7 linked regions of the Rattus norvegicus genome follow. The protein of the gene in region 7 interacts with the protein of the main gene of each other region in a pairwise test. Links are inferred from orthologs where the notes say so. Each region holds a gene or a part of one and is shown on either strand. Other genes may lie near its edges. The genes, in order: Asap1, Wasl, Prr22, Hnrnpc, Sh2d4a, Sos2 and Grb2.

Region 1 (4,498 bases), on a different chromosome or scaffold from region 7:
TACATCCTACAAGTGTTCATTCTTTAGAAGTTCCCAGCTTCTTCCCAGATGTCCAGGTCCTCTATGGAATGCCAGCCCCAGGGGGGCGGGGCCTCATCTATCCTGTTCATCACCATCTCAAGGGGACTCCATGCAAGGCTTAGCCGTAGAGCAGGTGTTCCATGTATGTTTGTGGAATTGATTAATTAAATGAAAGAGCATAATCCTGACAATGAAAGATGAGGCTGAAAAGAAGAGGCCTTGAGAACAGGGTGCTATTCATCTTTGTATGACTAGTACCTCCCACAGAGGAGCCACTTAGCAAATGTTTACTGCATACAAGAATGACTCAATCCACATGAATTTGAGAAAGGCTGTCCTTTCTGAGAAAGACTTCCAAGGAGTTCCCTCTTTGGGGGACCCGTGTGTGTGTGTGTGTGTGTGTGTGTGTGTGTGTGTGTGTGTGTGTGTGAGAGAGAGAGAGAGAGAGAGAGAAAGAGAGAGAGAGAGAGAACATGTGCACATCTGCCTGAGTACACATACCAAGGAGTGAACACAGGATCAAATGGGGTCTCTCACTGTACCTAAAGCTAGGCCAAGGCAACCATGCTGTCTTCACCCACTCACTCAGTGGGTGTGGATTTACCAGGGCATCTAGCTTTTTACATGCATGCTAGAGATTTGAACTCAGGTCTTTATGCTTGTACAGCAAACACTCTTCCCCACTGAGCCATCTCCCTAACACTCTCTTGGTCCTTCTTAGGAGGCAACAAGTCGAGAGCACGCAACAAGTGCTTAGTGTCACTGTCATCATCGCTTATGTAAGGATCATTTGTGCAGATTTCTAGAAAAGCCCTTGGAGCCCATATCAGATACACCAGTGAGAGAAAAAGAAGAGGGGAGGAGAAAATGTAAAGGGACCAGGAAGATCCCATCAGACACAATGAGACCTTGGTAGGGAAAACCCACGAAAAGCACAGGTACAAGGGGCTCTCGTTTCCCCTAGACCGCAGCCACCTGGGAACAACATGGAGCAGCCAGCTGGGAGGAGGGCCCAGACTAGGAAGGCTAGGCTTGAATGCACACATTCATCTCTAGCCTGCAAGGCCTGCATTGGTATTGAAAATCTATCTGGCTGTGGTTGGGGAGGACTGGAGAGGTGTAAGGAATTTCAATTTCCTTCACCAAATGGCAAGCTTGTGAAAAAGTCCTTTCTCTCCAACATTATCACATACTAAAAATGAAAAGCCAGCCACTCAGCTTTCAAGAAGAGGAAACTAGGTGGGCTGCCTGGCTCAGAGAGAGAGGAGGACTCAGAATCGAGACTTCTGAAAATCTCAACAGCACATTCTATGTCAAGACAGTGCCGGTTTGGAGTTTGTCTGTTTGAAACAAAAAAAAATGGAAGACTAGAGAAAAGCAATTCCCCATATAACAACTACCACTATACATTTCAAATCCATTTGGTAGCTGAATCCCAAATCCACTTGCATCAGTGAACAGAAATTGGACAATGTCTTTTCTTTTTCTTTCTTTTCCTCTTTTGCTAACTCTTAAAATCATCCTTCGAGTACTTAAAATCATTATGCATTCTAAACAGTAATTTTTAAACTCCTAATCTCAAAATATGTTCTTTGAGATAACTGCATGTCTCTAAAACGGCGGCAATAACAGATAAGAGAACAGGAGAAGGTGCTAAAGTGGAGACCGTTGAGAGACACAGTAACACTTGTGGCTGGCAGATCACAATCTGGCATAGTCACAGAGGCCAGGCCCCAGAGTTTATAGACTTGGAAGTTAGCTATTCCCAGCCAGGCCACCAAGTAGTTGTGTCCTTAGACAAAACAGGTCTCTTTCTGAAACTCTTCCACATTAAAAGAGAAAACAGTTGTTTTCCGAGATTCTTTTCTTCTATGGCCCCCTCAGCCCCATTCCCAAAGGCCTTCTAGTGGCCGAGCAAGAAGACCTGGCCACTCAGGCTAGAACAGACATGAAACTGGCCTAAAAACTAAATTCTGTGTTTTACAGTCTCAAAACATTACTCAGCAATCCTGTATCACTGCTATCCTAGAATCAATTCTGCTAAAACAACCTGATGGAGTCGATACAAGGAGGAAAATGGTCTTTTGCATCAGTATGCTAAGGGTAAGGTCAAGTTAACTTGGTCTAGACTTAGCTAAGCCTCTCCTTGATAAAATGAACCCGCCCTACGAGGGCGCGAGATGATGTATCTGGATGAATTAAACAGTAGAAAACCAGATACCAGCGAGTTTCTCTTTTTCCCCCCGTTTCGTTTAAACTTACTGTTGCTCTCATAAAAAGCATCAGGTTCCAAAATTGTACAAGCGGAAGACACAAGGCACTTCTCGGTTCCCACGGGGGATTACCACCCCCATTCCCGGCTTCTTTTGCTTTTAGTGGTCTGGGGCCTGCCTGGCAGCGCCATGTCCAGGCCGGGACCCACGCCGAGGGGAACTTTCCTCCGCTGCGCCAGAGACAATGCGGCGGCCAAAGCCCGCGCCTCCCCGCCGCGCGGCTCAGAGAGCGCCCCGGGATAACCGGGAAAAGTGCCGGGGAGGAGAAGGAAAGCGCCCCAGAGGGCCGGGAGAGCGCCCGAGGGAAGGGAGAGCCCCGATGGGAGGGGAGAGTGCCCGGGAGGACAGAGAAAGCGCCCCAGCGGACTCCGAGAGCGCCCCAGCGGCTGCCCGGGCCTCCTCCCTGAGCTGGGAGCCTTGCGCCCTGGGCGCACGCCCCCAACCGGAGTCGCCTCCGCGGAACAGGAGAACGCGCGCTCCGGCGCTGCGGCAGCGGAGTTCCCGGTCCGCCCCGCCAACCCCTGCAGAGCCGGCCGCGCGCCCCGCACGCCCCCGGCTGGTGCTCTGCGGGCAGACGGGGACACCCGGAGCCCACAGGGGTGTCCGGGTGGCCGTGCAACGCCCCGCCGCGCCTGTTCCCGCCGCCCCGCCGCCTCGCCACTCACCGGGACCGGGCGGGCCGCTGGGCATTATTCCATCACGGGCGCGGCGAGGCCGGGCGAGGCGCGGGAGCCGAGCGCGGCGCAGGAAGGGGCGGGTGACCATGTGCCGAGGGGGAGGAGGAGGAGGCCGGCGACGCGGAGCCGCTCTCTCGAGCCCGCTCGGCGGCGACGGCGGGCGCGGGCTGCAGGAAATCCAAACACTTCAGCAGGAAATCGGAATCCTGACTAAGCACTCCCGGCCCGCCGCTGCCCCGCGCCGGGGGCTCCCGCCGCGCTTAACCCTTGGCCAGCCGGCACACTTCAGGGCTCAGGAGTAGGACCGTGCAGGAGGAGATGCATGGGGTGGGCCTCCTTGGCCACAGAGAGCAGAGGTGGGGCTTATCAACAGAGAACCTTGGCCTTGAAGTGGGGCTTGCTAAAGCTAGGACACCAGAAGACTGTGGCCTCTCCCATCCCGCCATGACTTCTCCTAGGCTACTTTCGCCTGTTCCTTCCCGTCGATTTCTATCTTTTTACCCAGTGCCTGGAGGGAAAACCGTTTGGGTCAGCACACCACACTGATGATCTGGCATATCGCACATTCCGGTCTCTGAAGCCTGGTTGGAGAATGGCCTTTTCCTCTTTCCTGCAAATGATTCTTCCTTAAGCCTCAGTTTCTCAAATAAGAAAGGAGTGTCATAGTCTTCATTTGAAAACAAGATGCTTAGACAGGGATGTTGGCAACATCGGTGATACCCATGCTTGGGTATTGCTGCAATCTAGAGACTTCAGAGAAAGGAGGCTTCTAACTTGTAGGGTGTGTATTCTGCATGTCTGTGTGGACCTACACAGCTCAGGGGCAGGTCTGGCCTAAGGGTGTCAGTTTCTCCTTAATTACAGGTGATTGTTTTTCTTTGAGTCTTGTCTGTAGAAGAAAAGGTCAGCCACTGCATAGACCCTTTTCTGGTGAAATTAGAAATTCACCAGGACTCACAAGATTTGAGATTTTGTTTTTAACCTGAGGGTGGGAGACTTCGGGGAGGGCATGTTAATAAGCCTTGAGATGCCCCTGGAGGTTTAAGAGAACCAGCAGGGGAGTCTGGGCAGCCATTGGGAGTGATTCATTGTGGTTTCCCCAGGAAATGCCACATTTTACCTGTAGGCTGCAGTTTGGTGGTTTTGCTTGAGTGTTTCAGATTCCTCTGACTCCGAGATTTAGAGGAAGGACCACGTGCGTACAAGCGAGAACTGAAGTGAACATGCTGGGAACTGAAACTTGGGTACCAGCTTGTCTCCCAAGGACGAACAGACCTGTGCTTGGCAGCCAAATGCATGTCTTTTCTCCAACACTTTCACTGGTTACAGGTCACAGGAAAAACTCCAAGCTGGGCTCCAGGAACCCAACCAGGGATTCCTGTCCTTCACCTACCATCCTATCTACATTTGGGAAAGAACCTCTACCGGTCTGAAGTTGACAGATAAATCACAGAGCAGAAGTTGGGCCCTCACAGTTCCCCTAACCCTTTGATCCACTTGGGTCTGGCCCCCACACCGTCATCGCCA
Region 2 (3,832 bases), on a different chromosome or scaffold from region 7:
AGTTGTTTACTAGCTAGAACCCTGTGACTAAGGTAAAAAAAGGAGGAGACAAGGTATGAAGAGCCAGCCAACAGTGACCAACTCAGCTGTACCCTTAAGGCCATGTTCTCTGTGCAGCTGAAACAATTAAAAGTTTAGACAGCCACTATATGCAGGACAATTCCTCTACTTCAAAAATGTCAGTTATTCTGACTAAAGCATTTCACAAAGGTCCACTAGATACTCATCACAAAATGTCACTAAATCCAACTCTAGAGACTCAGAGAGACAACACAGTACATAATGGTGCTTGCCTGGCAAGTGTGAAGTCTAGAGTTAGGATTCCAGATTTCATGAAAAAGCTTTGCAGGTGGCAAAGAAAGGGAGGGAAAGGAAGAGGGGGAGGGGAAGGGGGAGGGAGGAGAAGGAGAGGGACAGGAAGAAAGGGAAGAGGAGACGGGGAAGAGAAGAAGTCCCAGTGAGGATCCAGTATTAAGAGCACACATAGGAGCCACAGGCCTCAGACCAGAACAACGACTCACTGCAATGAACACTTGCAAGGAAAGCTGTTTGGACCAAAGGGTATCTGTGTGACGTGCTGCACTCTCTGTGATGAGATTTTGTTTTGTTTTGTTTCATTTTGTTTTTTAGTCTTTGTTTTCATCTGGGGGGAGGTTGCAAGGGTAGAGAACAGCTTTGGATAGACAGAGAGATGTGTGGGATTGGGGTACATGATGTGAAATTCACAACAATAAAAAGTTTAAAAAACATACTGATAATATACTGGGATATTTGAACACTGAGTATTTGGCAATATTAAATAATTATTTTTTCTTGTAATAATTTAAAAAAGACTAAAACTGCAAAATATACTTAAATATGTTTTTTGAATGCCATTAATGCAAATTTAGGAGTGGCTGAACATAAAATTTTATTTGTAAAAAAGGTTACTGAAATTAAAATATTTCTTTTGAAGTAGGTACCATGGAAATTTGTTGTAGAGAAAGCCAGACAATAACTATTCAGGCTATATGAGCTTTGCCACAACACTAACTGTGCCGGGACAAACACTAGCCATTGCCTGTATGCATATGGATGATAAAGCCAGATGCCCACAGTTCACACAGTAACATGCTGAACCAGTGTGGCCTTGGCTGGGACAGAGTGAGATGGCTCCTGCTCCTGGGACAGGGGTGAGCCTCCATGACTATCGATGGCTGCTTTGAGCATAAGGCTTGTTTGTGTGATAATGTACAGGTTTTCTGGAACCAGTTCTAGCAGTGGAGGACTCTTTCCCGCCCCGAGGAATGTCCTTCCTGTAAACATTAATGATGCCATAAAGGTTAGTAAGAGCATGAGTCCAGGAGTTGAGGATGTAGTTAATGTCTCAGCAAAATGATACAGGCTGGGACCTTCTGGACAGCCCTTACGGCTATGGGAAAGAGCTCTAAATACATGAGTTACAAAATATGTAATTTCTCAACTATGCAAAAAATGCAATATGAATTATGAGGTGCTTTAAGAATCTAAAGGAACAAGTGCTATGTATGCTATGAGCCAGCTTGTCAGAAAGGTACAGACAGGCAGATGCCAATGCAGGAAGATTCCTAAGTTCAAGGTCAGCTTGGGATAGAGCAAGGTTATACTCAGTCATGGTGGAAATGGTAATTTTGGGACAGGGCCTCTAAATTTTTTTGCAATGTTAAGAAAAAAGTATATGCTTGCTGTCTCCTAAGAATCAAAGGGCTGGGGGTGGGGTGGGAGGTCATGGGATACAGATTCATAGAATAATCAAAAGGGAACCTAGAATAAATAACTTCATTGATATGTAAACAGAAAACCGATTTTGGCTTGCATGAGATGTGCTGGCAGAAAGCAATAGCAGCTCTTTAGAATTTTCTCTAGTGAGAGCTGAATTATCTGAAGATGTCGAAGAGTGAAAACAGTTCTTCTTCAATAATTTTTTTAAACAGGATTTCTGACTTGGTCAGAAGGATCCAATGTTTTATAGCAGCTTTTCTGACTTTGGTCAGCGAGCGCACTCTGCATGAGCCTTGCTCCCAGTCTGGGAAGCCACCTCAGCAGAACCCAGGCTGCCAGTTTGGACCACGATTTGACTTTGAGAATCACATCTGCCTGATAACTAGTTTGCTGGTTCATGTGATGTACACAATGCAAAAGGAAAAGCAAGGAGGTATTTACCAGATTTCCTTTGTCGTCGACCCAACAGGTCTGTAACTGCTTTTCGGAACTTTTTTGCTTCTTCTTCATTGGCAAAATTAAGAGCTACTTGACAAGTCTGAAGTATTTCCATCAAAAAGAACAAACAAGAAAGTTCATGAACTTAGCTTTATAAACCAAAAATAATGACAATCCATGGAAGCACACAAGGAGCAAAGTTACATTTTAAGTAACTTCAAGGCAAAAAGCTCAGAAAAGGTAAAGTAAGACTATCAGAAAAGCTTCCTTACTTGGCAAAAACTTAACAACTAAATACTTTGTCTTCAGCAAAAAAATTACATTTGGTTTCAACAGAACTTTATAAACAACATAGATTGAACAAAGGCAACTGTGGTGGTTTGAATGAAAATGGCCCCTGTAAGGTCACTGGCTTCACTGCCTAGTTCCCAGTTGAAATGTGGCCTAACTGGACTGTTAGGCACACTGTGGGTGGGCCCTGAGGTTCCAAAAACTGGACTCATTCCCAGTCAGCTCTTTTTGCCCCATGCTTGTGGATTAGAGGTAAGCTCTCAGTTACTGCTCCTGAGTTCACTGTAGCTGTGATTATTGTCATGATGGTCACAGACTCACCCTCTCAAACTGTTAGCTCCAAAGAAATCCTTTCCTCTGTAAGTTGCCTTACCTGTGCTATTTCTTCACAGCAACAGAAAAGTAATTAAGACAGCAGCCAATAGGAAAATTACCAAGATAAAAAGAAAATAGGACTTACATCTCCAGCAAAGGTATGAAAATATCCTCTAGGACTATTATATACAAAGTTATTGTATAGCTCTTGTTCCCACAGTAATTTCCCATCCTAGAAAAAGAAAAAAAGTTAAAATCTACTAAAAAAATTCTTCTAGGATTAAAAAGGAGACAACTCCTTAAAGGGACTGTTTTTATAAACAAAGACTTTTAGGAACATATATTTGTCATATACATATAACATACACAATACAGTAACTAAATGGAACCTGTTTATAAGTGGTTTCATTCAGCAGGGCAAGCATTTCCAAGTACAGCACTTAGCAGAGTACAGAACTAGGCTCACTGGAATAGGGACATCACTCTAGGCAAGTGAGATAGATGCTCCACTGTGTAACTCCGTTAGCTAAGCTTTCGGTCATGTTCTACCAAATGTCACAGTAATACTGTTACCCTTTTCCTCAATTACAGATGCAGAATAATCCAATACACTGTCTCTGGGCTGTTCGGTAATACTCTGAATTCTAGACCTCTGCAGAGTGGCCTAAGGAGACACTAGTTCAAGTACTATCAACCATGCAGCAGCAAGACAGGTGATTGAAACATAACAAATTTAACCAAGAGATGAGAGTTCTACATACTACCATATCTACAGACACAATGTAAGAAATCTACTTATTCTTCATGCCAAAGGTGGGTAATTATAATTAGTAAGCAATGGCTACCTCCAATCAGAATTAAATAGTGAGAAAAATGTAATCACTGCCGATTTGAAACCCAAAACTCCAACTACATCACAAATTTAAAATATGAAAAATCAACAGCTGAGGTTGCCAGCACTGAGGAGCTTTGCTCATAAACACACATCACTGCTCATTGAGAAGAGCGCTAGGTTTGGAGGTTGCAAGACCTGCCCTACTTGAGGCCA
Region 3 (3,962 bases), on a different chromosome or scaffold from region 7:
CTCTCAGGACACTTTGACTCTGACCACCAAACATACGAGGGAACCCATTTCAGTAGTGTCTGGAAAAGAAAACCCCACTTCTCAAGAGACCTCCCAACATGGCCAGTCTGAGGCAACTGCCTTTCTTCTTGAGACAGGCTCAGGGAGCTCAGGCTAGCCCTGAAATTCTGACTTTCTCCTACCTCCTCAGGGCTAGGGTTACAACCATGTACCACACTCGCTTTATATAGCACTGGGAAGGAGTCCAGGGTTTTGTGAATAGTGACTGAGCCCCACGCACTTTACCAATGAACCCCCAACCTTCTACCAGCTGAGCTGCAGCACCATATCTTCATTTCTTGTAGATGAGGCTGTACTTTGTGACCAAACTGGCCTCCAACCTCCTACCCAGGCAACCTAAATGTAGGGCTAACAGTTTAGTTTCAACCCTGATACCTGACAGTCCAATTCTGAGATTCCTGACTCAACTCTGAAGGCACGTGACTGGCACCACCCCACCCCCAGTCTCACCATGCAGTCGGCGGTCTTGCCTGGTCATGGTCACAGGACATGTGTCCACACATAGCTGAGAGATCAAATGGCTTTAATTGGGGGTGGCTCCTGGGTCCAGCCTGGGTCCTGTGGCAGTGGTGCCAGCAAGGCCAGTGGCCTGCCTGTGTCTACCGCTTGGTTTCCCTTTCTTGGTGGATGTGCTCGGTTTTTTCCCCGGTTGATGGGACCGCAGGCCAGGGGCCGCCGTGTCAGTGACAGGGGCCCCAAGATGGGGCAGCGGCTCATCCTCCAGGGCCTTGAAGCTGAAAACATAATCCACGTTGGCCACCGCGTCCAGAATCTCAGGGACACTGTAGTCAAAGGACAGCAGGTCATCTGGCAGGTGCAGGGAGCGGATGTCAGTTGGGAAGTCGTCCCCACCACCACCACTGTCCCGCAGTCCGGGGCCAGGACCCCTGTGCAAGGCCACCTCAGGTTCAGTGCCACCAGGGAGACAATCAAAAAGTTTCATGGCATCTTCTAGAAGGACCTTGTCTGGTAGGAAGAACGCACGAGCCACCTCGGGAGGCACGGTCTCACTTGAGCCCACTGGGGTGACCTCCTCCACCTTGGCCACCGTGGGCTCTCCAGGCCCAGGAGGGAACTGCAGACCCGGCCTGGCTGCACCACTACTCTGCAGCTCCCTGGGGGCCTCGGTGGGCCTCATGGTCACCTGGGGTCCTGGAAACTGGCTGGTCTGGCCACCGAGATGGCCATAGGGCCCAGGTGGCAGCGTGTGTGCTGTGGGGACTGTGATAAGCAAGGGAGATGGCTTAGTCTCTTTGGGGGTTGGCGGGGGTGCCAGGCCGTCTCTGAGCACCTCCATGAAGTTGAGGGGCCCTCCGTCCCGCATGAAGCCCAGAGCCTCAGGCATAGGCTCCTCTGGTGGAAGGAAATGTGTGAGGTACTGTGGCCCGCTGGGGGCCGGCTGGTAGTGGGGATAAAGCAGAGGTGGTGGCCCCGGGGTCTTGAGGTAGGACGGGGCCTCCAGCAGGTAGCCACCAGATAAGGCAGGACCCCCAGCCACTGCCACCTTGTACAGGGATGACTGGCCAAAGTCGGAGGTGGCCCACTCGATGCGGTAGATGCGGGGGTCGAAGAAGCAGCCGCAGGGAGCCATCTGGAAGCCTGTGGGTGGTGGACACCTGAGTGGGGCTCCATGGGGGAACCAGGCCATGGGGGTTGAGGGTCCCAAAGCCCAGGACATAGGACACAGCCTTGGCCTCTGAGGAGCCTTGAAAACTGGCTGTTTACCAGTCATCTGGGGACTCGTGGGGGGCAAGACACAGAGACTGTTGGGGTCCTCTCCTCTGATGCCTCTCAGGAAAACAACGACCTGAATTCGGGTGCCCAGGCCTCTCAGAAAGCCTTGCCTAGTGGCAGCCGCTGTCACCAAAGCAGGCTTCAGCCTGCTCTCCAGTGTTACTTCAAAACATGACACAGTTCAGCTATGGGGGTATCTGTCTGGGGTAGAGGGGACCCAGGGCAATTCTGGGGTCTCATCTTGGGTATGAAGCCTGTTCAGAGCGAGGCTCAAGGGTGCCGGCCGATACCTGCTGGAGGGGCTGGAAGCACTTCCTGGTCAGAGCCGGGGTTCTGATAGTGCAGGTTAGCATTGGCTGTGGACAAAGGTGCCTGGTAGGTGGGGCAGGGGCCCAGGCCCCATAGCCATCACACACCCCTGTCCACCACCACCATCATACCTACAGTGGGAAGGGGTTCTGAGCCACCTGGTACCTCAGGGCCCTCCAGGTTCTGCAGGCTGAAGCTTTCCTGGGGTATGGCTGGGGGATAGAGGGTTTTGGGATGCTGCATGGGTGAGACAGGCCACCCCGGGGGGGCCCGGGTGGCAGCAGAGGCACCTGGGGACAGAGTCCCGCTGGGTTCTGTTTGCACCGTGTTGCTAGGTGGAGGGTTCCAGTCCAGGGCAAGCCCATCACTTGGGTTCCGGAGGAGGGGGAGGGGGTGGGCAAGAGGCGGCCCTCTCCACCCGGAGCCAGGTCTCTGTTGCTGCCTCCATACAAGTCACCCAATTCAAAGTCCCAAGGACACTGCCCAACAAAACGGGACAGATTAGAGTCAGAAAACAGTGCAGACGGGGACCAGGCACCTGCCAAGGCCACCTCCTAGGAGAAGAGGAACAGAGGCCATTTTAGGTCACCTAAGAAAAAGCCAGTGTGATGGACGGTGTGCCTAGGATTCTAGGAGTTCAAGGCCAGCCCATATAAGATCTTATCTCAAAAAACCCAACAAGGGGCTGGGGATTTAGCTCAGTGGTAGAGCGCTTACCTAGGAAGCGCAAGGCCCTGGGTTCGGTCCCCAGCTCCAAAAAAAAAAAAACCAAAAAAAAAAAAAAAAAAACCCAACAAAATAAAAGAAATTCTACAAGAATAAAATTTATTGTCTCTGTTAGCTACTTGTAGGCATTGGCTTTGTGCTTGGGCAGGAAGACGAAGCCAGGTGGAACTGGTCCAAGCAGCATCTCACTGTGGGGACAAAAGTGACAGATCAGATCAGGCCTGGGCCTCACAGCATCAACCTGTAGAGCCCTGGCCAGTGCGTACCTGATTCGAATCCAGTCTGCAGCCTGCTGGCTGGCCATGAGTGTCTCCAGGTAGTCACGGCCTAAGTAGTAGGGTGGCCTTTCATTGATCCTCTGTGGCAGTCGTTCCAGCAGGCCCACGGGCACATACCTGTGGGCCAGGAGGGCAGAGGAAGCAATAAGGCTCGGTGAGGTCTGAGGCTACAATCTCTTACCTTGGCCATTTGCCTGGTTCAGTGCCCACCTGCAAAGAAAGGAGAGCCACTCAAGAAGGAAGCGCCGGGTCCGTTCCACACCCTGTGTGTCAGAGCCCCAGTGTTCCAGGCCATAGTGTGTGAAGTCTCTCAAGATGTCCAGGCGCTCAGAGGATGAGATGTCCCAGTGTCTCTGTTCTTTGATCTCAGTGAACAGCCAGGGCTTGAGCAAGGCGCCACTACAAGGGAGATGCTCACTGAGGACATGGTGCCTCCTAGCTCCAGTCACCTCAGCAGCCAGGCCTCGGCCTCACAGGGTCCCCAGGTGCAGAAAGTTCTAGCATTGCTGTCCCAGCCCATCTGGCGTCACTTACCGGGCAACCATGATCCCAGCAACCCCTGTCTGCATGGCACAGTTGGCGTCCTCAAACGAAAGGATGTCTCCATTTCCTGAGGAGACACAGTGGGGTCTTGACAGTGGCAGGCCCCATGGACATGAGGACACCATCAATCAGTCTTGAGATTTCCAAAGAATCCAGCATCCTCCCAGCTGAGAGATGTGGTCCCAGTGGCTCTGGGCACCTACCAAACAGGGGCATGGGGCTGGCCACCTTGGCACACTGTTCGATGTAGGGCCAGTCGGCCAGCCTGGTGTAGCGCTGTTCCCTGGAGCGGCCATGGAGCTGTGGGGGAGG
Region 4 (4,490 bases), on a different chromosome or scaffold from region 7:
CCCGAAGCCATCCTGTTCTTCTTTTTTCTTCATGTCATTTTCTCCAAGTCTTTTAGAACCTGCATAGTCTTGAAAGGTCAAAACACTGCCCACGGGAAAGACACAGTCACCACCTGTGTCAGAATAAAAGTCAAGACCAGAAGTGGTTACACTATCATCGGATCTCAGCATGCTGAGGGCAGAGGTAGGAGGATCACTGTGGGATGGATGCCAGCCTGGTCTACATACAGGCTGCATAGTCTGACCCTGACTAAATAAGTAGCAAAAAAACCAAAGCGAACTTCCTGCTTGCTACTCTGGTTTGGATTCAGGTGCACCTCCCTCACCAAAGCCAACTTCTTTACAGAACTGCTTTGCCTGTGCTTAGGAGCTCTGTCAGAGGAGATCATTGCGTGTTTGTTCCTAACACCAGGGAAGTGAAAACAGAAGGAACCTGGGGTTCAATGGCCCGCAAGCCTAGCCATGAAGGGCTTCCCATTTGTCTGTCTACCTACCTACCTCTACCTAGGTACTTATATTTATTGTTTTTTCGACAGAGAGTTTCACTATACAGCCCTAGCTGTCCTGAAACTTGAGTAGACTGGCCTTGCACTAGAAATACCGCCTAGCCCAAACCTTTCTTTAAAGAAAAAAAAAATAAAATAAAATTGGGAACACATAAACTCGCTGGACTGGAACATTTAAAATAAATCCTTTGAAAATGTCAAAGGTTTAAAGGTCTAAAGAAGACCTAAAAGATTATTTTTTATTTTTAAATCAGGAAATTTCCTGGGGTACTCTTTCCCTTTCTCAGTAGGCTATATACATTTTTGGCCTGTTTAATGTTTCTACAGTGTAACCAGAGCTTTACTGGCCGAGCTGAGGGGGTTAAGTAGTATCAAGCTATTGCAGGAAGTGGGAAACTGAGGCGGCTGGCCATTGGTTTTGCAGATTGTGTGACGACTTGGGCCCAGGAAACGGGTTTATAGGGGTCTAGGCAATTGCTCTTATAGGAGAGAACTATGGAAACCAGTTGGTTTGGAGGGAGCTGTTCACTGACAAGGCCACGTCCTTCCAATAGCTTATAGAATCTGGCAATGAGAGGGGATCTGAATTTGAAAATAACTGCAGACCTGTTTAGTTTTTAACACTTCAGGCGGCCTAGGGATTACGATCCTCCCTTCTCTAAAGCTTGTTTGCACTTCCCTTTTTTTCCAAGGCCTGAGGCTAGGGCAGGCCCTTTGCACCCGCTACCAGACTCCACCCAGGCTTTCCCACCTCCGTGCCGCGGAAATGCGGTGATCTGGCCGGACCTAGGATCTCTAGGAAGCACTGATAGGACGACACGGCCGTCAGTCAGGTCCGCCGGATACCCGGATGAGAAGCTGTGCGCGATACAAAGGCGAAAATTCCACCCAGCTTTCCGTCTGGTACAGTGACCAATAACCATCCGTCAGACACTAAGTGATAGAAAGCTTAACCAATTACTAAGTAGCTTTTGTTACGCATGTGGAAATTCTCCCAATTAGCCCAACCCACCTCGTGTGATGATTGGACGGAATTGTGAGGAGCGGTAACGCTATCTAATTAGGAGCGGGAGCGAGAAAAGTCACAGCCAATAGAAACGCCTCCGGGAGCGGGGCGGGGGCTGGACTTTTGCCTCGGCGGCAGAGGAGCTCGGGGGCCATTTTGTGAAGAGACGGAGAGCGAACGGTCGTGTGGTTCCTTGCTGTTGTAGCTCCGGCTTCTCGGCGTAGACCCGCAGTAGGAGAGGCAGGCTCTTCTCTCTCTCTCCTTCCTCTTGGTAAGCGGAGAGGGCGAGGGCAGGGGAGGCCCTGGGTTGCTGGGCCCCGCGAGGGGGTTGTAGGCGAGAAAACGGCCTCGCGGCAGAAACCGAGGCCGCGTTTGTTCCTGTGCGTTGGGGATTGGGTCTAAGGCGGGAGGCAACAGGCCTCGGCCTTGGCGCAGGTTCAACCTAGTGACCTCTAGGCCACGGTGCGTACGAAAATACCCTCTTTGCGCGCTGGTGTTTAACGGCTACTTTCATTTCCTTCCCCCATTAGGATTCCAAGGGGGAGCAGGGGAGCAAGAAAGCGAAGAACGAAATGCTTGTTAATGTAATTGTAGTGAATCTCTTACTCCGTTATTGTCTTCTAAGCTAAATGTCGGGCGTGGGTGGGGGAGCGATAACATGGTGGTGTAGTACTGGAAGCTTCTAAATTCCAGGCCGGCCACATGGCATCTGAACGGCGTTTTAACAATAGATTAAGTAGTGATTACTTTTTTCTTCAAGGGATAGATGGGTAAAAGTCGGGAGTGCTTTTGGTTTGTAAAGGGAAGTGCCCAAGGTAAATTGTAATTGGAATAATTACAGCTTTTTATCTGCAGGTTACAAATCACATAAGTTAGTGGAACTTTGCTTGAGGTAGGTACTGCTGTCCTAGAGAGAAGTGAGACTTAAAAGTGGTTGACAGGACCGGACTAAATCAGTAGTAGAGAAACTAAGATATTTCTAGGCAGGTCAAGTTACTAGAATAGACTATACACAAGAAGAGACTTAGCCGGTAGGTGGTGACAGTGCACGCCAAATGCCTCCCACCACTTGGGAGGCAGAGACAGGCAGATCTCTCTGAGTTGTGGGCCAGCCTGGTCACAGAGAGAGAGTTCCAGGACAGCTCGGGCTACACAGAGAAGCCCTGTCTCAAAAAGGGGGGTGGGGTGGGAATGAGTTTTTCTTTTTAGAGGAACCTGATACCGAAATTTACAGGACATTTTCAATCTGGACTTGGGAACAATAATTAAAAGGCACAGAAATAGTTTACAGATACTCCAGTATTAATCCTACCCATCTAGAATGGAAAAAAAGCAGTTTACAGCTAGTTATGGTAGTGCAGGCCCGGAATGTTTGCATTCTGGAGGTTCAGAGACAGGAAGATCCTGAGCAAGATCCCATTGCAAGGCAGCCCAGGACTACATAGTAAAACATGTTTAAAAATTAAAGTAGTTGCTCTCTTGTAGGTGTTGAGTTCTTTTTTTTTTTTTTTTTAGATTTATTTATTCTATATAAGTACACTGTTGCTGTCTTCAGACACACCAGAAGAGGGCATCAGATCTCTTATTACTGATGGTTGTGAGCCACCATGTGGTTGCTGGGAATTGAACTCAGGACCTCTGGAAGAGCAGTCAGTGCTCTTAACCCCTGAGCCATCTCCTCCGTCCGAGTTCTTTTAAATATAGCTAGTGATAGTGCTTAGGATTCAAGATGCCCAGGATTCAATCTCCCATACTAATAAAGGGTTTTTGTGTCACATTAACTTACCTGGGAGTTATTTCATTAGATAAACTTATTATAAAATTGGTATTTCACTCTGGCACAGTTTTTAATCTCAGCACTAGGAAGGCAGGAGATCTGAATGTAGAGTAAATCTAGTAATTCTAGGACAGCCAGGGCTATACAGAAAACAATGGGTTTGATTAAGTGACAAAAATATGCTACTAATCTTAGTTTAAACTATACACACATTTTACTCTTAAGCATACTTCATGGAATGTGCATGGCCTACTCTTGTAATTTGAGCACTTGGGGGATAGAGGTAGGAAGAGTTCAAGGCCATCCTTGGTCCAGCTTGGAGTATTAAGACTGTCTAAAGAAGAACAAATGCAGACAAAGGAAAAAAAAACAGCCTCCCACATTTTTTGTTTGGTTTCTCTGTGCAATAGGCCTGGCTTTTCTGAACCCACTGTCTTGATTAGGCTGGCCTTGAACTCTGATCCACCTGCCTCCGCCTAAGTAAGAGATGGGATTAAAGGCATGTGCCTTTAAAAAGTAGATAGAGTACAGGGTTTTGCCTGGTGAACAGTGAAAACTAGGTAAGAGAAAGTATTATAAATGTCAGAAGTTATGCAAGGTTACTGGTAGTAGTTGATGTATACTTGCCATTAAGTGTTATAAATGTAGGCCAGGCTTGGTAGGCACCTTGTTCTGGTAGAACATGTGGATTTCTTGGAGTTTTGAGGCCAGACTCAAATTACATTTTTGATTTGACTTGGGAGGAAGCTGTTAAAATTGCAAGGTTTGGATCTCTCATTTGCCATGGTCAAGCCATTTTCCAAAATGGTTGGTAATGGTTACTATTTTTTCTGTAGAGTAATTATAACATGTTTGCAATTTGATCTCTAGATTTATTGGCTTGTGATCTTGTTATAAATGGGCATGGCTGTTCAAGCAAGTAAGGAATATATTCCTAAATAGTTCGTTACAGTCTTATAGATGATGAGTGGAAGTTACTAACTAGGGAAACTACAATTGAAAAATCTTGGCTGTGTAAAACTATGTAAGTATCCAGTAAATTAGACTTCTGGATTTGTTTTGAGATATAAAACAAGCTAAACTACTACTTTATATGGAAATTTTGAGTTCTCATTTAACCCTAGTCATTGCTGAAAGTAGTTGACAAAATACACAAAAAATTGTCCTACCCCACCCCCACCTCTGTTTCCTAAATTATTAC
Region 5 (3,832 bases), on a different chromosome or scaffold from region 7:
CCCTCAGGAAGCTTATGCTTTGGATGTAGGGGAGAAAAGATAATCTTTTTTCCATGAAGTCTGGTGAGCATAAGAACTCTGGGGAGAATGAAGCAGAGCGTGGAGGCTGGGAGGTGGGTGGTGACTGGAGAAGGCCACCTGGAGATGATGGGGCAGAGCCTGGGGAGGCAATGACAGTGGATGAGAGGGCAATACAGTCCAGGCAGAGGGACCAAGCACAAAGGGTCCAGGCACAAAGACACCGAGCTGAAGGCATCTTTGATGTGACCAAAACAGGATGGCAGGTAACTGGCGAGAATGAATGAGAGAGTCAGCCTCAGGTCCCAGAGAACGAAGGTGATGAAACAGGATCTCCTCTCCTAGACATCAACTTAGAAAGAAGCCTTTACTTTTCTAAGCTTCTTTGGATAAACAGAAAGGTCCGGGCCTGATCTCATCTGCTATTTACTCGTGAGGCTCACTTCTTCTCCACCGTGCCATATAATTACACTGTAGAGAAGAAAGGACTGGGTTTACTAAATATAGCACTCTCCAACATCTGATTATCACCTATCAACCAGGTACTCTCTGCGTGTGTGTGTGTGTGTGTGTGTGTGTGTGTGTGTTTTAATGTTTTGTCCTTCAGTGGGTTGTGGTTTTAAACTTCTTAGTAAACAACCTGGGCATAGGGCACTGGGGGAGTTGGCTGGAGTGATGGCTCAGCCATGAAGAGACTGCTATGCTCTTGAAGAGAACCTGAGTTTTAGTCCCACAACCACCAACACCATGCCACTCAGCTTCCTCAGACTCCAGGGAATTCAATACCCTCTTCTGTCCAACAAGGGCACCTGTACACATCTGTACACATGCATACACACAAATAAAAGTAAAAGGCATTGTCCTTCTTGTTCATCCTCAGCGACGGAGTGGGTCAGAGTCCTGATGTGACGCTGGAACTGTGAGGTTATTTAAGAAGAAAACAGGGCCTTGGGAGATAGCTTGGTTGTAAACTGCTTGCTGTGCAAGCAGAAGGACCTGAATTCTGATCCCCAGGTAAAAATGGGGATGCAGGGGTGTATGTCTTAGAACTATGGCAGGCAGAGGCAGGCAGACAACAGGGGCTTGCTGGCCAATAGGATCTAGTGAATCAAAGATCCCCAGGCTCAGTGAAAGAACTTGTCTCTAATAGTAGGTGGGAAAATGACTGAGGAAGACACTTGATGTTGAAAACTAGCCTCTATATGCCCTCTCACTTCTACACAGAGGAATGCCCACATATGATCACACTCAAAGAGAGACAAAGACAAGGAGAGAGAGAGAGAGAGAGAGAGAGAGAGAGAGAGAGAGAGAGAGAGAGAGAGATTAAATAAATACAAATGCATGTGTTGCATAGCTGGTTCCTTGGCCAAGACATTCCATTCAGGGAAAGGGAGGTTCACAAAATGGAGAACTTATAAGCACCCCACCCAGTCCAAGGTTAGATAGGCAGTAAATAACAGGTTTGGGGCTTTTCAGTGGCTCTACCTGCAAGGTGAGTTAATGACTCAAAGGATAGAACTTGTGAGTGTTTACTGTACTGGAGAGGGCTTGTTGGTATATCTGCCTTTCAGTTGTCAAGTGCTCCCATGAGCACCCCCAGTAACTTCTCTGTTTCCTCAGTCTAGACTTGGGGAAAGTGTTTCCTTCATGACTAGTTTGCTCACATCTGCCCAGGAAAAGGTGTTCCAAATGAGCAGAGCTCCTTTCTTAAGTGTGTTTTGTTAGGTTGGTTTTTGTTTTTGTTTTTGTTTTTGTATTGCTTTTCCTTTTCTTTTTCTTTCTATTCAAGTTTGAAAATCGAGAGCAGTACATAATGTACTGCAGGTTTGTAAACAATTTCAGTAAAGGGTAACACATTTCAGTACACATTTCAGTCATTTCTACCACCACAAGCTTTCTTTGAATTAAAAACAAACAAAAAACAATGTGCAGCAAATGATAGGTTCGTGGCTCTAGGCAGGAAACTATGTTTAAAAAAAAATAAAAGGTATAAGATGTGTGCAGATTAAGTTTAGCACAGTTTCAGAGGGTTACGACCTTACTGCTGGTTTATGGTTCTCTACAGTAATCCAAGCTAAGGTTCCCAGCGAGATTTATGTTTTATTGTGGTAAAATACTTTCATGGCAAGGAAGTCTTTGTATACATTTGTGTGTAGATGAGGGTGTATTATATACGTACCTGGAAGAGGATGCCCCTGCCAGTACATGAGCAGACAGAGGCCAGAGGTTGGCACAGATGTCTTCCTCTGGGGCTTTGCACATTTAATTTGAAACTTGGTCTCTCATGTAACGTAGAATATATTGTTTTCAGTTAGACTGGCTTGCCAGCAAGCCCCTAGGATCCCCCTGTTCCCACCCTTCCAGCTCTGGGGTTACAGGCACATGTCACCAGGCCAAGCAACTACGTGGATAATACTAGGATTCAAACTCAGGTCCTCGTACTAGCTCGGCAAGCACTTTACACACCGAGCCCATCTTTGTAGCTGGAAAGTCATCATTGTCATGTTTTTGGAATCCATGATCAACTTTCTTCCTCCTCCTGCTCCTCCTCCTGTTCCTCCTGCTCCTCCTCCTGTTCCTCCTGTTCCTCCTCCTGTTCCTCCTTTTCCTCCTCCTCCTCCTCCTCCTCCACCTCTCTCCTACCCTTCTCCTCTTGCTCCTTCTCCTCCTCCCACTCCTCCTCCTGTTCCTCCTCCTCCTCCTCCTGCTCCTTCTCCTGCTCCTCCCCCCTCTTCTCCTTCTCCAATGCCCTATGGCACGGGGCATTGAGCTTGAAGCTTTGCTCACGCTAGGCAACGCAGTAATAAGTTTCACAAGCTGTTCCATGTTCCTGAGCCGAAACCATGACCCTGTTTTAGTTCTCAGACATGGTCTTACAAAATAGTTTGTCCTGAACTTGTACTTACTCTGTAGTGTATTTCCCCTTCTCAGAGGTCATAGTGTGTGTGTGTGTGTGTGTGTGTGTGTGTGTGTTAAGAAGAAAACAAAAGAGCCCCGTGCCTTTGTGAGCCATCTCAAATCATATATCATATTCCCTGTTTGTATAAAAAGTTGGAGAATATATAGTCCCCAGCTGAGACTGCCCCTGGAAGTTTACAGCAGATCAGTGTTTACGCTGGTCCCATGAATTGACATATTTACTTCAGAGAAGGAAACTTGGAATATCTGTCAGCCATGTCTGTTTAGTAAAGGCATATGCTATACATTGTGCTAGGCATTTTTGAAAACACAGATATTCACTATAACTCTATGGAATGCTCTTTCTAGCTGTACTTTGGGAAAACAGCTTGTGAGAGGATCAGGAACAGAAAGTCCCACATGGAGATACCTGAAGTTCTAGCTTCCGGCATTGCTGACACCAAGTATCTCCCTAATGGGCGGAGAGAATTTAATAGAAGCCCAGATGCCGCCTATCCTCTTAAAGAACCTGTCACGTTTTTTCTCCTCTTCCCATCTCTGTTTTTATTTTCAAACAGACTAAAGACCTCACCAAGAAAAAGGACAGTGAGGAACTGAAGCAGACAGAGGACGAGAAAACGAAGCAGATATACAAGAACTGGAAAGAAGACTCCGAATGGCAAGCATCTTGTGAGTACCCAGGATCTCTCGGCAGCACCATGCAGGGTCTCAGCCGGGCCTTCTAGTGCAAAAGCATCCGGGAGGCATCCAGAGCTCATCCTGGAGAAGTACCTGTCCACTGAGTTGTCACTCAGGTGTTACCAGTAAATGCTGATTCCTCGGGGACTTGAGTAGCAGGAAGGTTTGGTTTCATCGCTGTACCCTTAAATTAGAGAGAGTTTCTGCTCGGCAGAAT
Region 6 (3,832 bases), on a different chromosome or scaffold from region 7:
AGTCTGAAATAACTTTGAACATCTTTTGCTAGGAATATATTTAACAAATATTCTGAAGACTGAAGAAGGGAACAGCGACTTTCTAAAGAGGAAAGGGAAAGATTTGATCAATTTCAGTAAGAGGAGAAAAGTGGCTGAAATAACCGGAGAGATTCAGCAGTATCAGAACCAACCATACTGCTTACGGACAGAACCAGAGATGAGGGTAAATATTTTCTTACTAATCTTTGAAAGAGATGGCATTAAATCCTGTGGAATTGCTAAAAGTGTCATAGTGATGCACATGCTCTCTGTTTGCCCTTGGCTAAACTTGAGATAGCAATGTAAACACGGGTGTCTATGCTGTAGCAGTCACTAATGTTAAGGGCCTTCTCCGAGAGTCCTGCCTCCTTGTGTGGTGGTTACACACAAGGCAGAGGGAATGGAACATCTGTGCAATAAAATAAAACCCCGCTGCTGTTGTAATTGACTGATAGCCATTTTACGTGTCTCGCATGCCTGACATAACATTGAATCCCTTCATGTGATCGCTGTGAAGGACTTGGAGAATAGCAGGTATATATGCATAGCAGATTTTCAAAACACATCCTGTCAGTTGGTGTTTCGTTTTGAGTAATAATGTTTAATATAGATTATACAATACCACAAAAAAAGAAAGTGGTGATGAGCTGCCGTGGCTGTCCCTTCCTTCCTCACTATGTCTGCCCTCTGTGCTGTGGAGTGAAATGTATTCTTAAAGCCCAGGTTAGAGTCTGCAGTGTACTTTCCATAAAAGACATTTCAATGCGGTTGAGTACATTTGAAATAGTACTCTTCTCATTCGTGTCTCAGAAATATCAGCTAGTACAGTTCCGTGATCTTCTTTATGCTTCTTACCATCATGCAGAGCAAATCTCCCTTCCTTAGAATTGAGTCAAAGTAAATTTAAAATGAGCCAGGTCCAGCCATGATGGCTTATGCACATAACCCAACACTTGGGAGGTGGGGCTAGAGCATTGGGAGTTCAGGGCCATTCCCCAGTGGATAGAGGTCAACCTGGGCAACATGAGCCCTAGTCTCCAAAGAAGGGAATAAACAGCCATTCACCTTCAAGGCATAGTTAACCAACTTAAACACTATTGGAAAATAAGGCAAAGGTTGGAGAAATAAAGAGTGCATCTGTTACAGCTTTTATAAAGGATGAAATTACTGTTGCCTGACAGCTCCTTACTGTATCCTTGATGACCCGAGAAGAAATTGTATATTAAAGTAAAAATAATAATTTTTCTGACATTTGTAGAATGCCTGAAGAATAGAAAGGATTTTATATTAAGAAATGTAAAGCTCATTTTACCTATTGGTAAAATTACATGCCTGTAATCCCAGCATGTAGAAAGCTGAGGCAGGAGGATTACAAGTTCAAAGCAGCCTGAATTTTTTTTTTTTTGAGACCCTGTATCAAAAAAAAAAAAAAAAGCTAAACCCAGTAATTAGATTCCTATGTTTATTATTCTTTTAGAAATAATAAAAGAGGGGGCTGGGGATTTAGCTCAGTGGTAGAGCGCTTGCCTAGGAAGCGCAAGGTCCTGGGTTCGGTCCCCAGCTCTGAAAAAAAGAACCAAAAAAAAAAAAAAAAGAAATAATAAAAGAGAATAAGAAAAATATATAATGTTGAACACAGTTTATATGACAATGAGTTAGAAAAAACTGTGCAATCTCTATGGAGATTGCTGAAATCAGTCCTAGGATAGTAACAGTGTTCGCATTAATGTATCACACAGATAATAAAGTCCAGAGACACTCAGACTAAAATCAGAGCCTCTGATCAATGAAATAACTGCTTCTTTTTTCTTTTTTGTTTTCTTTGCCATTTGAGCTGCACGCCAAGCCCAGATCATTTTGTCATTTACAGTTTGGAAGACTGAGATGCACTCAGCACTTAAGAGCATGCACTGCTCCTCCAGAGGACCAGAGCACAGTTCCCACCACTCATATCAGCCACTGACATATTCCTGAAACTCATTCTGCACCTGCACAAACCCACGCATACGTACACATAGGTACACAGACATGCACATACACACATCCATGCACACACACAGATGTGCACGCTCACACCTTGTTTTTTGGCATCTTACTAAATCATCTCAATATTCTACTTAAAAAAGCTTAAAATATATATTTGTAGTAGTTTTTTTTGTAGTAGTTTTTTTTTGGATAAACACAGGTTTGGATTTTTACATTTTTTTGGCCTTGGAGGGTAACACAGAAAAAAATTAAAGCTATAATTGTCTTTTAAGTTACTTTTGAATATACCTTACTCCAATTATCTCTACTTTTTTTCCTGCTTATCTACTACATGCTGTGGTTTTCGGGCATAATCTTCATTGTAAACTCTGTTGGTAGATGAATGGTAGTAATTTTGCTGTCATAGTGAGCAGGAAGACAGTTGCTAAGAAACAAGTGATGCCAACAACTGAGCTGAGAATCTGTTCGTTGTACTAATAAACTATGAGGCTAGGGTGCTGCTTCCTTGGAAATTGTACAGTCTTAGTCACAAATAGAGAGAAGAAAGAGCAATCTGTCTAAAAGACTCGAATACTGTGGTATCTTGATTTGTTTTATTGTTAAAGTTAATAGGATCTAATTTTAGTATATATGTGTATTTATGTGTTTAATTCTAGAGATTCTTTGAAAACCTCAATCCCATGGGACTTTTATCTGAAAAAGAGTTTACAGATTATTTGTTCAACAAATCTCATGAAATTGAACCCCGAAACTGCAAACAACCACCTCGATTTGTAAGTCTTTACTCATTGTAATTATGGGAAGTTTTGTCTCTTTTTTAAAATATTTTCAGAGCGCTTGCCTAGGAAGCGCAAGGCCCTGGGTTCGGTCCCCAGCTCCGAAAAAAAGAAAAAAGAATAAAATATTTTCAGGGGCTGGAGAGATGGCTCAGCGGTTAAGAGCACCGACTCCTCTTCCAGAGGTCCTGAGTTCAAATCCCAGCAACCACATGGTGGCTCACAACCATCTGTAATGAGATCTGATGCCCTCTTCGTGTGTCTGAAGACAGTGACAGTGTACTCACATATATAAAGTACATAAATAATCTTTAATAATAATTTCAATGTTTAACAACCTAATTCTCTTAAAATTGATCTCTCAGCAGTAGCTGTTTTGCTGTTTTATTCTACAGTACTATTCTATTTCCAAAATTATGTATACAGGGTAGGCTGGGGCTCAGACATAAGAGTTCCTGTGTGAGGCCCTGGCTCGCCCTCTAACATCACAAAAAGAAAATAATACTTAGCAGAAAATGTCAACATTTTAATAGAAACTGATTTAAAAAAAAAAGCAGCACTGGGTATAAGAACTAGGCCCACATCGTGCTAAGTATCCTTCATTTTGGTGTCATTTACTTTTCTGTCCATTTTTGTACCTCCTGATATAAGAAAAAATGTATACAAAAGTGAGGCCAAAAGCAGGTAGCTGGATGGAACAAGTGAGAAGGCAGGGAAGGAAAAAGTGGGTGTGCTGTGCTGGGTACCTTTGACCCGCACAGAGCCCAGGGTTCTGTGGTTACCCTGCAGGACTCCTCGCTGGAGTGGTTGCTGCAGTTCTCAGTTATCCGGGGATTTGCAGTGGAAAGCCATCCTAAGTATTAAGGGGAAAAATAAAAACAACTAGAGCATGCTGATTTGTGGTAAGACAGTGAACCAGGGGGTTTGTGTTTCCTGTCCTCATAACAGTTGTATGAAATGGACTGTTTCCCGGTGCTAGGCATCTAGCCCAGGCAAGTGTCTCCCATGTGAGCTACGCCTCAAGCCCAATGGTCATAAGTTATTTCATC
Region 7 (4,625 bases):
CTCACCACCAAATGATATCCCCTCCTCTGTAACTGGTCATTCTAATATGTAGGTCCCTGGTGCTTGGGGCCAGGGTTCTTCTCTTTGAAACTAAGTAATTCTATCTAGATTGCAAACTGCTGGAATCATCCGGTTTCATCTTTTGCTCCAAGGAAGGCATTTTCAATGCAAATGAAGCTCCGTAAACACTTGGGGAAAGAACGGTTCACTTTCCTTATTCTAGGGGACCCATCTCCTCTATTGTAGCAGAGGTGGGTATTCTCAACTGAAATTCGTTGGCTTCTAGAGAACGCACTAGCATAGGATGTGTTCGTGCTCTCCTGTAATTGGAAAGAGCTTTTGGAACTGAGAGGTACTTCTCCAAGCTTTCCTCTACCGCTCCCCCATAGCCGGCAGCCCCACATAGGAATCTATGTACTTTGCATGGCACAGAACACGACTTTCTCACGCCTCCATCCATCCCTCTGTTCTTCTGTGCTATTCCGTTTGCCGGCTATGGGCTTACCCTGGCTCCTGTGCTGTGCAACTCCTACTCACCCTCAGCACTCGGCGGCACATCACCTTCTTTGTTAAGTCTTTTATGCAGTGGGCAGAGGAACAGAGCCAGCCTTTCTCCATCTTTTTGGCTTCCTCAGCATTCCCCCAAAGTACTATGTGTAAGTGTTATAGTTTGTGTGTGTGTGTGTGTGTGTGTGTGTGTGTGTCTGCACGAGGGTGTGTGCAGGTGAATGCCGGTGCCATCAGAGGCCAGAGGCACTAAATCTCCTGGAGCTGGGGTTACAGACAGTTGTGAACCATGGGATGTGGGTGCTGGGAACTGAAATCAGGTCCTCTGGAAGAGCAGCAAGCGTTTTTGTTTTGTTTTTTTGTTTTTTGTTTTGTTTTTGACCTCTGAGAGGTCTCTCCAGCCCAAGACATTACTTGTTTACTCTTCTGGTGCTTCTCTCGATTGATTGAATCGCTTAAGGGCCAGGATCTCTGCTCGTCGTTTCATCTTCTTTACCCAGCACAGTGTTTACCTACAGTAGGTATGTAGTTCACTCGGTGAACGGACTAATCAAACAGTTCATCAAACACTGCAGGTTGTACGAACCAGATTCCCAAACATTTCTAGATCTGGTCCTCTATTTGGGTCGAACCATCCTGAGATCTGCCGCCCCTCGACCCCTCCTCGAGGCCTCTTTGCTTTGCTTCGATAGAAAGAACGCTATTCGAGTGTGGAAAGCGCTATTCCGCTAGAGCAGAGCTGTAATTCACTTGCTCCGGCACGCAGAGGGTTACAACGGCCCAGGGGCGGAGCCGAGTCCCTGCCACCTGCTGCGGGGCGAGCTGACGCATGCGCGAAGTCCCCCTTAGGCTACCTGCCGGGCGGAGCGGAGGAGGAGCGCTTGCGCTCTGGGCCTTTTCCGCCGGGGAAAGTCTCGCGGGGGCGGGGCGCGGCGGGGCGGGGCCGCGTGGGGAAGTTCTCGCGGGACCCTGGCGAGGAGCGGAAGCTAGGCTGCTCTGCTGCTTCTGCGATCGGGCGGCGGCGGGGCGAGCCAAGCTGCGGCGGGGGACGGCGGTCTGGGCAGCGGGCGCCGCAGTCAGGGAGCAGCAGTGAGGTTGGCGGCCGCGGGCGGCAGCACAAGGCGGGCCAGGCCGGGTGAGGGAGCGGACGGCACGTCGCGGTGAGTGCAGGAGAGCGGGCGGGAAGTGAGCGGGGGCTCCGTCGTCCCCGCGCCGCGCCGGGCAGCTCGGGCCCGGTCTGCTCCGGGCTGCCGGGGCGGGCCGCTCGCGGGTCGGGGAAGGCTCGGACCGGAGCGCAGCGGCTGCGCAGCCGTCTCCTCGTTTCCCCTTTTGGGGCGCTTCCTTCCTGGTGTCGGTCTTCCTCCCGCTCGGGGCAGAGACCGGGCGAGCCGACGATTGAGGTCCGGTGTGGCGGCCGTCCGGCTGGGCGCAGAGGAGCCCGGAGCAGCCGAGAGGCACAGGGTGCTGCTCTGAGTCAGGCTGACTGAGCCCGGGAGGCGGGGGATTCGGTGCCGGCTGCTAACGTGGTGATTGATGCTCCTTTGACCTGCAAGGCAACCACGTCACCGTCTCTTGGCATCTTGCGGTCGAATTGTGTGCGGGAATCCACCATGACTTAGAATGATTGTTACCCGGACCCACCGACTGGTCTTTGCGAGAGTTGGGAGCTTCTTTTGTAGAAGTACTTGAGAAAAAAAAATACTTGTTGTGGGGGGAAAAACAGCAGCAGCTGATGGGAATGCTGGCAGGAAGGATTTTCGCGGAGAGAGCCCCGCTGGTTCATGTCCGTTTGCAACGCTCTAGGTTGTGTGGGTTTGTAAGAAAGTGATTTTTAGGGTGTCTTCAAAAGCTATATAGCAGTGCAGTTTGCCGGGAAGCCGAGGCGCGTTCAACGTCCGTCTTTTGATGGTGTTGACATTCAAAAAGAGGCTAGAGAAATTGGCTTTCTTTTGACTTCTTCGCCTCTCTTTCACTTTGCCCTGCAGTTTTTGTCCTTTCAGTCTCTATTCCACTCCACTAGGGACACGAAGTACATTTTTTTAAAAAATTTATTTATTCTATGTATATGAGTATACTGTAGTTTTCTTCAGACACACCAGATCCCATTACAGATGGTTGTGAGCCATCATGTGGTTGTCGGGATTTGAACTCAGGACTTCTGGAAGAGCAGTCAGTGCTCTTAACCGCTGAGGCATCTTTCCAGCCCCACGAAGTACATTTGTAACGCCAGTCATTGGCGCCTCCACCCCCTTTAGAAAATAATCTACTTCCCCTTCTTGTTCTTCCTCCGCTATAATTTTCGAAGTTTCTGCCGGTTTGAGCACTGTTAATTTTCTCAGTCGTTCTAAGATCCCCTTTTTGGGGGGGGTAGATACCTTCCCTTGTTTGCATTTCTTTTTTTTTTTTTTTTTTTTTTTTGGTTCTTTTTTTCGGAGCTGGGGACCGAACCCAGGGCCTTGCGCTTCCTAGGTAAGGGCTCTACCACTGAGCTAAATCCCCAGCCCCGTTTGCATTTCTTTTAGACTGTCCTCTGTATTCTTCAGCCAGCCAGAAGGGCTACTAAGGAGCCATCGGGGTGCTTGAGGGGGTTTAAGTTCTCCCCCTGGGAACTAGAAAACCCAAAGGACTGAATTCATTGCTAAGTAATCGATAGTGCCATCAGATCACAAGTGGATTTGCCTGTTCGCTTGTGCTATTTGTATTTTGGTGTTTTCTTCACAAGGTATCCTTTTGTGCCTACTATTTTCCTTCTTTCTCTCTCCTGTTTCTCTTCTCTGTTAGTAAGGAAGATTTTGAGCCAGTTTGGAAGCTGAAAGACTCCCCCCCTCCCTTTTTTTTTTTTCGGAGCTGGGGACCGAACCCAGGGCCTTGTGCTTGCTAGGCAAGCGCTCTACCACTGAGCTAAATCCCCAACCCCGAGGTCAACTATTGTTAAATGAGAAATCATCCGTGGAGTTTGTGAAGTAAGATAGCTTGAAATAGAAGAGAACTTTGGATATTTGTGAATTAAGTCCACCTTCCTCTCCTGACTAATGATATAGTCCTAACCAGGCTTTTTAAAATGATTTTTAATTTTGTATGTGCTTGAGTGAGTTTTGCCTGCATGTATGTATGGAAACCGTGTGCATGCCTGGTGCTGTCAGAGGCTAAAGGAGGACAAATACCTTGAACAGGAGTTACAGAGGGTTGTGAGCAGCCATATATATATGTGTGTTAGGAATTGAACCCAGGTCCTCTGGAAGAGGAGTCGGTGTTCTTTAACAGCCTGAGTTGCTATTCTCTCTAGTCCAATAGTTTTAAGCACTACTCACTGGTACTGAGGGTTTTTTCCATGATTTCTGTTATGTCGCATGTATACAGCAGCCCTTATGGAGAATTATGAATTAGGAGACAGCAAGACAGAGCTGCCACTCCCGGACAGGCATTTGGTGTCGTTACCTGCTGACCTCAGAGGCCTACACCTTTGGCCACGGTTATTGAGATTTATTCTTCTGTGTTTGTCAGAGTTGATTTTCCCGAGTTGTGCCAAGTCTAACATACATCATTTTCATTTTGTTCAGACGTAGTGCACTGAAATGCAAATTTTAAAATTTGCTTAGTGCTTCCTCATTTTAGCCTTGATTCTTAAAATTTGTATGTATAGACATAACCTGCCAATTAAGGAAGGGCTGGAGAGATGGCTCAGTGGTTAAGAGCACCGACTGCTCTTACAGAGGTCCTGAGTTCAATTCCCAGTAACCACATGGTGGCTCATGACCATCTGTAATGGGATCTAATGTCCTCCTCTGATGTGTCTGAGGACAGCTACAGTGTACTCATATATAATAAATAAATAAATAAATCTTAAAAAAGAAACCTGCCAATTAAAATTTTTTTATCCAAAAAAATTTTTTTGAGACAAGGTCTTGATATATTGTACAGGTTGGTCTCAAACTATTTCTCTATTGATTTATTTTGAGGCAGGGTCTCTCTGTTTAGTCTTGGCTTTCCTGGAACTCTATCTGTAGGCTACCTGGGCTGGCCTTAAACTCAGAGATTTTTTTTTGCCTCTGCTTTCCAAGTGCTGAGATTAAAGTTGTGCACCGTTAGCCTGGTTTCACTTTGCAATGTCCTGCTTC

Evidence for each region.
Region 1: the proteins of Grb2 (region 7) and Asap1 interact in binary tests that used the Homo sapiens proteins (3 or more experiments, as listed by UniProt). The link is inferred for Rattus norvegicus from reciprocal best matches to the Homo sapiens genes GRB2 and ASAP1.
Region 2: the proteins of Grb2 (region 7) and Wasl interact in binary tests that used the Homo sapiens proteins (3 or more experiments, as listed by UniProt). The link is inferred for Rattus norvegicus from reciprocal best matches to the Homo sapiens genes GRB2 and WASL.
Region 3: the proteins of Grb2 (region 7) and Prr22 interact in a two-hybrid assay, tested with the Homo sapiens proteins (2 studies listed by BioGRID). The two-hybrid records come from large-scale screens. The link is inferred for Rattus norvegicus from reciprocal best matches to the Homo sapiens genes GRB2 and PRR22.
Region 4: the proteins of Grb2 (region 7) and Hnrnpc interact in a two-hybrid assay, tested with the Homo sapiens proteins (2 studies listed by BioGRID and IntAct, with this or other methods). The link is inferred for Rattus norvegicus from reciprocal best matches to the Homo sapiens genes GRB2 and HNRNPC.
Region 5: the proteins of Grb2 (region 7) and Sh2d4a interact in binary tests that used the Homo sapiens proteins (3 or more experiments, as listed by UniProt). The link is inferred for Rattus norvegicus from reciprocal best matches to the Homo sapiens genes GRB2 and SH2D4A.
Region 6: the proteins of Grb2 (region 7) and Sos2 interact in binary tests that used the Homo sapiens proteins (3 or more experiments, as listed by UniProt). The link is inferred for Rattus norvegicus from reciprocal best matches to the Homo sapiens genes GRB2 and SOS2.

What each region holds. Positions count from the first base shown.
Region 1 is NC_086025.1:97,978,904-97,983,401, forward strand, and holds the start of Asap1 (arf-GAP with SH3 domain, ANK repeat and PH domain-containing protein 1), read right to left. Parts: upstream 3,048-4,498; 5' UTR 2,960-3,047; intron 2,730-2,959; exon of another isoform or gene 2,284-2,729; intron 1-2,283. UniProt on the Homo sapiens protein: Possesses phosphatidylinositol 4,5-bisphosphate-dependent GTPase-activating protein activity for ARF1 (ADP ribosylation factor 1) and ARF5 and a lesser activity towards ARF6.
Region 2 is NC_086022.1:54,066,256-54,070,087, forward strand, and holds part of Wasl (actin nucleation-promoting factor WASL), read right to left. Parts: intron 3,017-3,832; coding exon 2,930-3,016; intron 2,279-2,929; coding exon 2,182-2,278; intron 1-2,181. UniProt on the Homo sapiens protein: Regulates actin polymerization by stimulating the actin-nucleating activity of the Arp2/3 complex. Involved in various processes, such as mitosis and cytokinesis, via its role in the regulation of actin polymerization.
Region 3 is NC_086027.1:1,684,734-1,688,695, reverse strand, and holds Prr22 (proline-rich protein 22), read right to left. Parts: upstream 2,402-3,962; 5' UTR 2,347-2,401; coding exon 2,235-2,346; intron 2,151-2,234; coding exon 2,085-2,150; exon of another isoform or gene 1,793-2,084; coding exon of another isoform or gene 1,660-1,792; coding exon 584-1,659; 3' UTR 567-583; downstream 1-566. Other genes in the region: Dus3l (tRNA-dihydrouridine(47) synthase [NAD(P)(+)]-like), read right to left, coding at 2,945-3,017, 3,096-3,224, 3,318-3,506, 3,642-3,717, 3,854-3,950.
Region 4 is NC_086033.1:27,279,855-27,284,344, reverse strand, and holds the start of Hnrnpc (heterogeneous nuclear ribonucleoprotein C), read left to right. Parts: upstream 1-1,629; 5' UTR 1,630-1,783; intron 1,784-2,367; exon of another isoform or gene 2,368-2,404; intron 2,405-4,490. UniProt on the Homo sapiens protein: Binds pre-mRNA and nucleates the assembly of 40S hnRNP particles. Interacts with poly-U tracts in the 3'-UTR or 5'-UTR of mRNA and modulates the stability and the level of translation of bound mRNA molecules. Single HNRNPC tetramers bind 230-240 nucleotides.
Region 5 is NC_086034.1:26,127,371-26,131,202, reverse strand, and holds part of Sh2d4a (SH2 domain-containing protein 4A), read left to right. Parts: intron 1-3,494; coding exon 3,495-3,606; intron 3,607-3,832. UniProt on the Homo sapiens protein: Inhibits estrogen-induced cell proliferation by competing with PLCG for binding to ESR1, blocking the effect of estrogen on PLCG and repressing estrogen-induced proliferation. May play a role in T-cell development and function.
Region 6 is NC_086024.1:93,787,267-93,791,098, reverse strand, and holds part of Sos2 (son of sevenless homolog 2), read left to right. Parts: intron 1-32; coding exon 33-205; intron 206-2,663; coding exon 2,664-2,780; intron 2,781-3,832.
Region 7 is NC_086028.1:101,445,120-101,449,744, reverse strand, and holds the start of Grb2 (growth factor receptor-bound protein 2), read left to right. Parts: upstream 1-1,606; 5' UTR 1,607-1,667; intron 1,668-4,625. UniProt on the Homo sapiens protein: Non-enzymatic adapter protein that plays a pivotal role in precisely regulated signaling cascades from cell surface receptors to cellular responses, including signaling transduction and gene expression.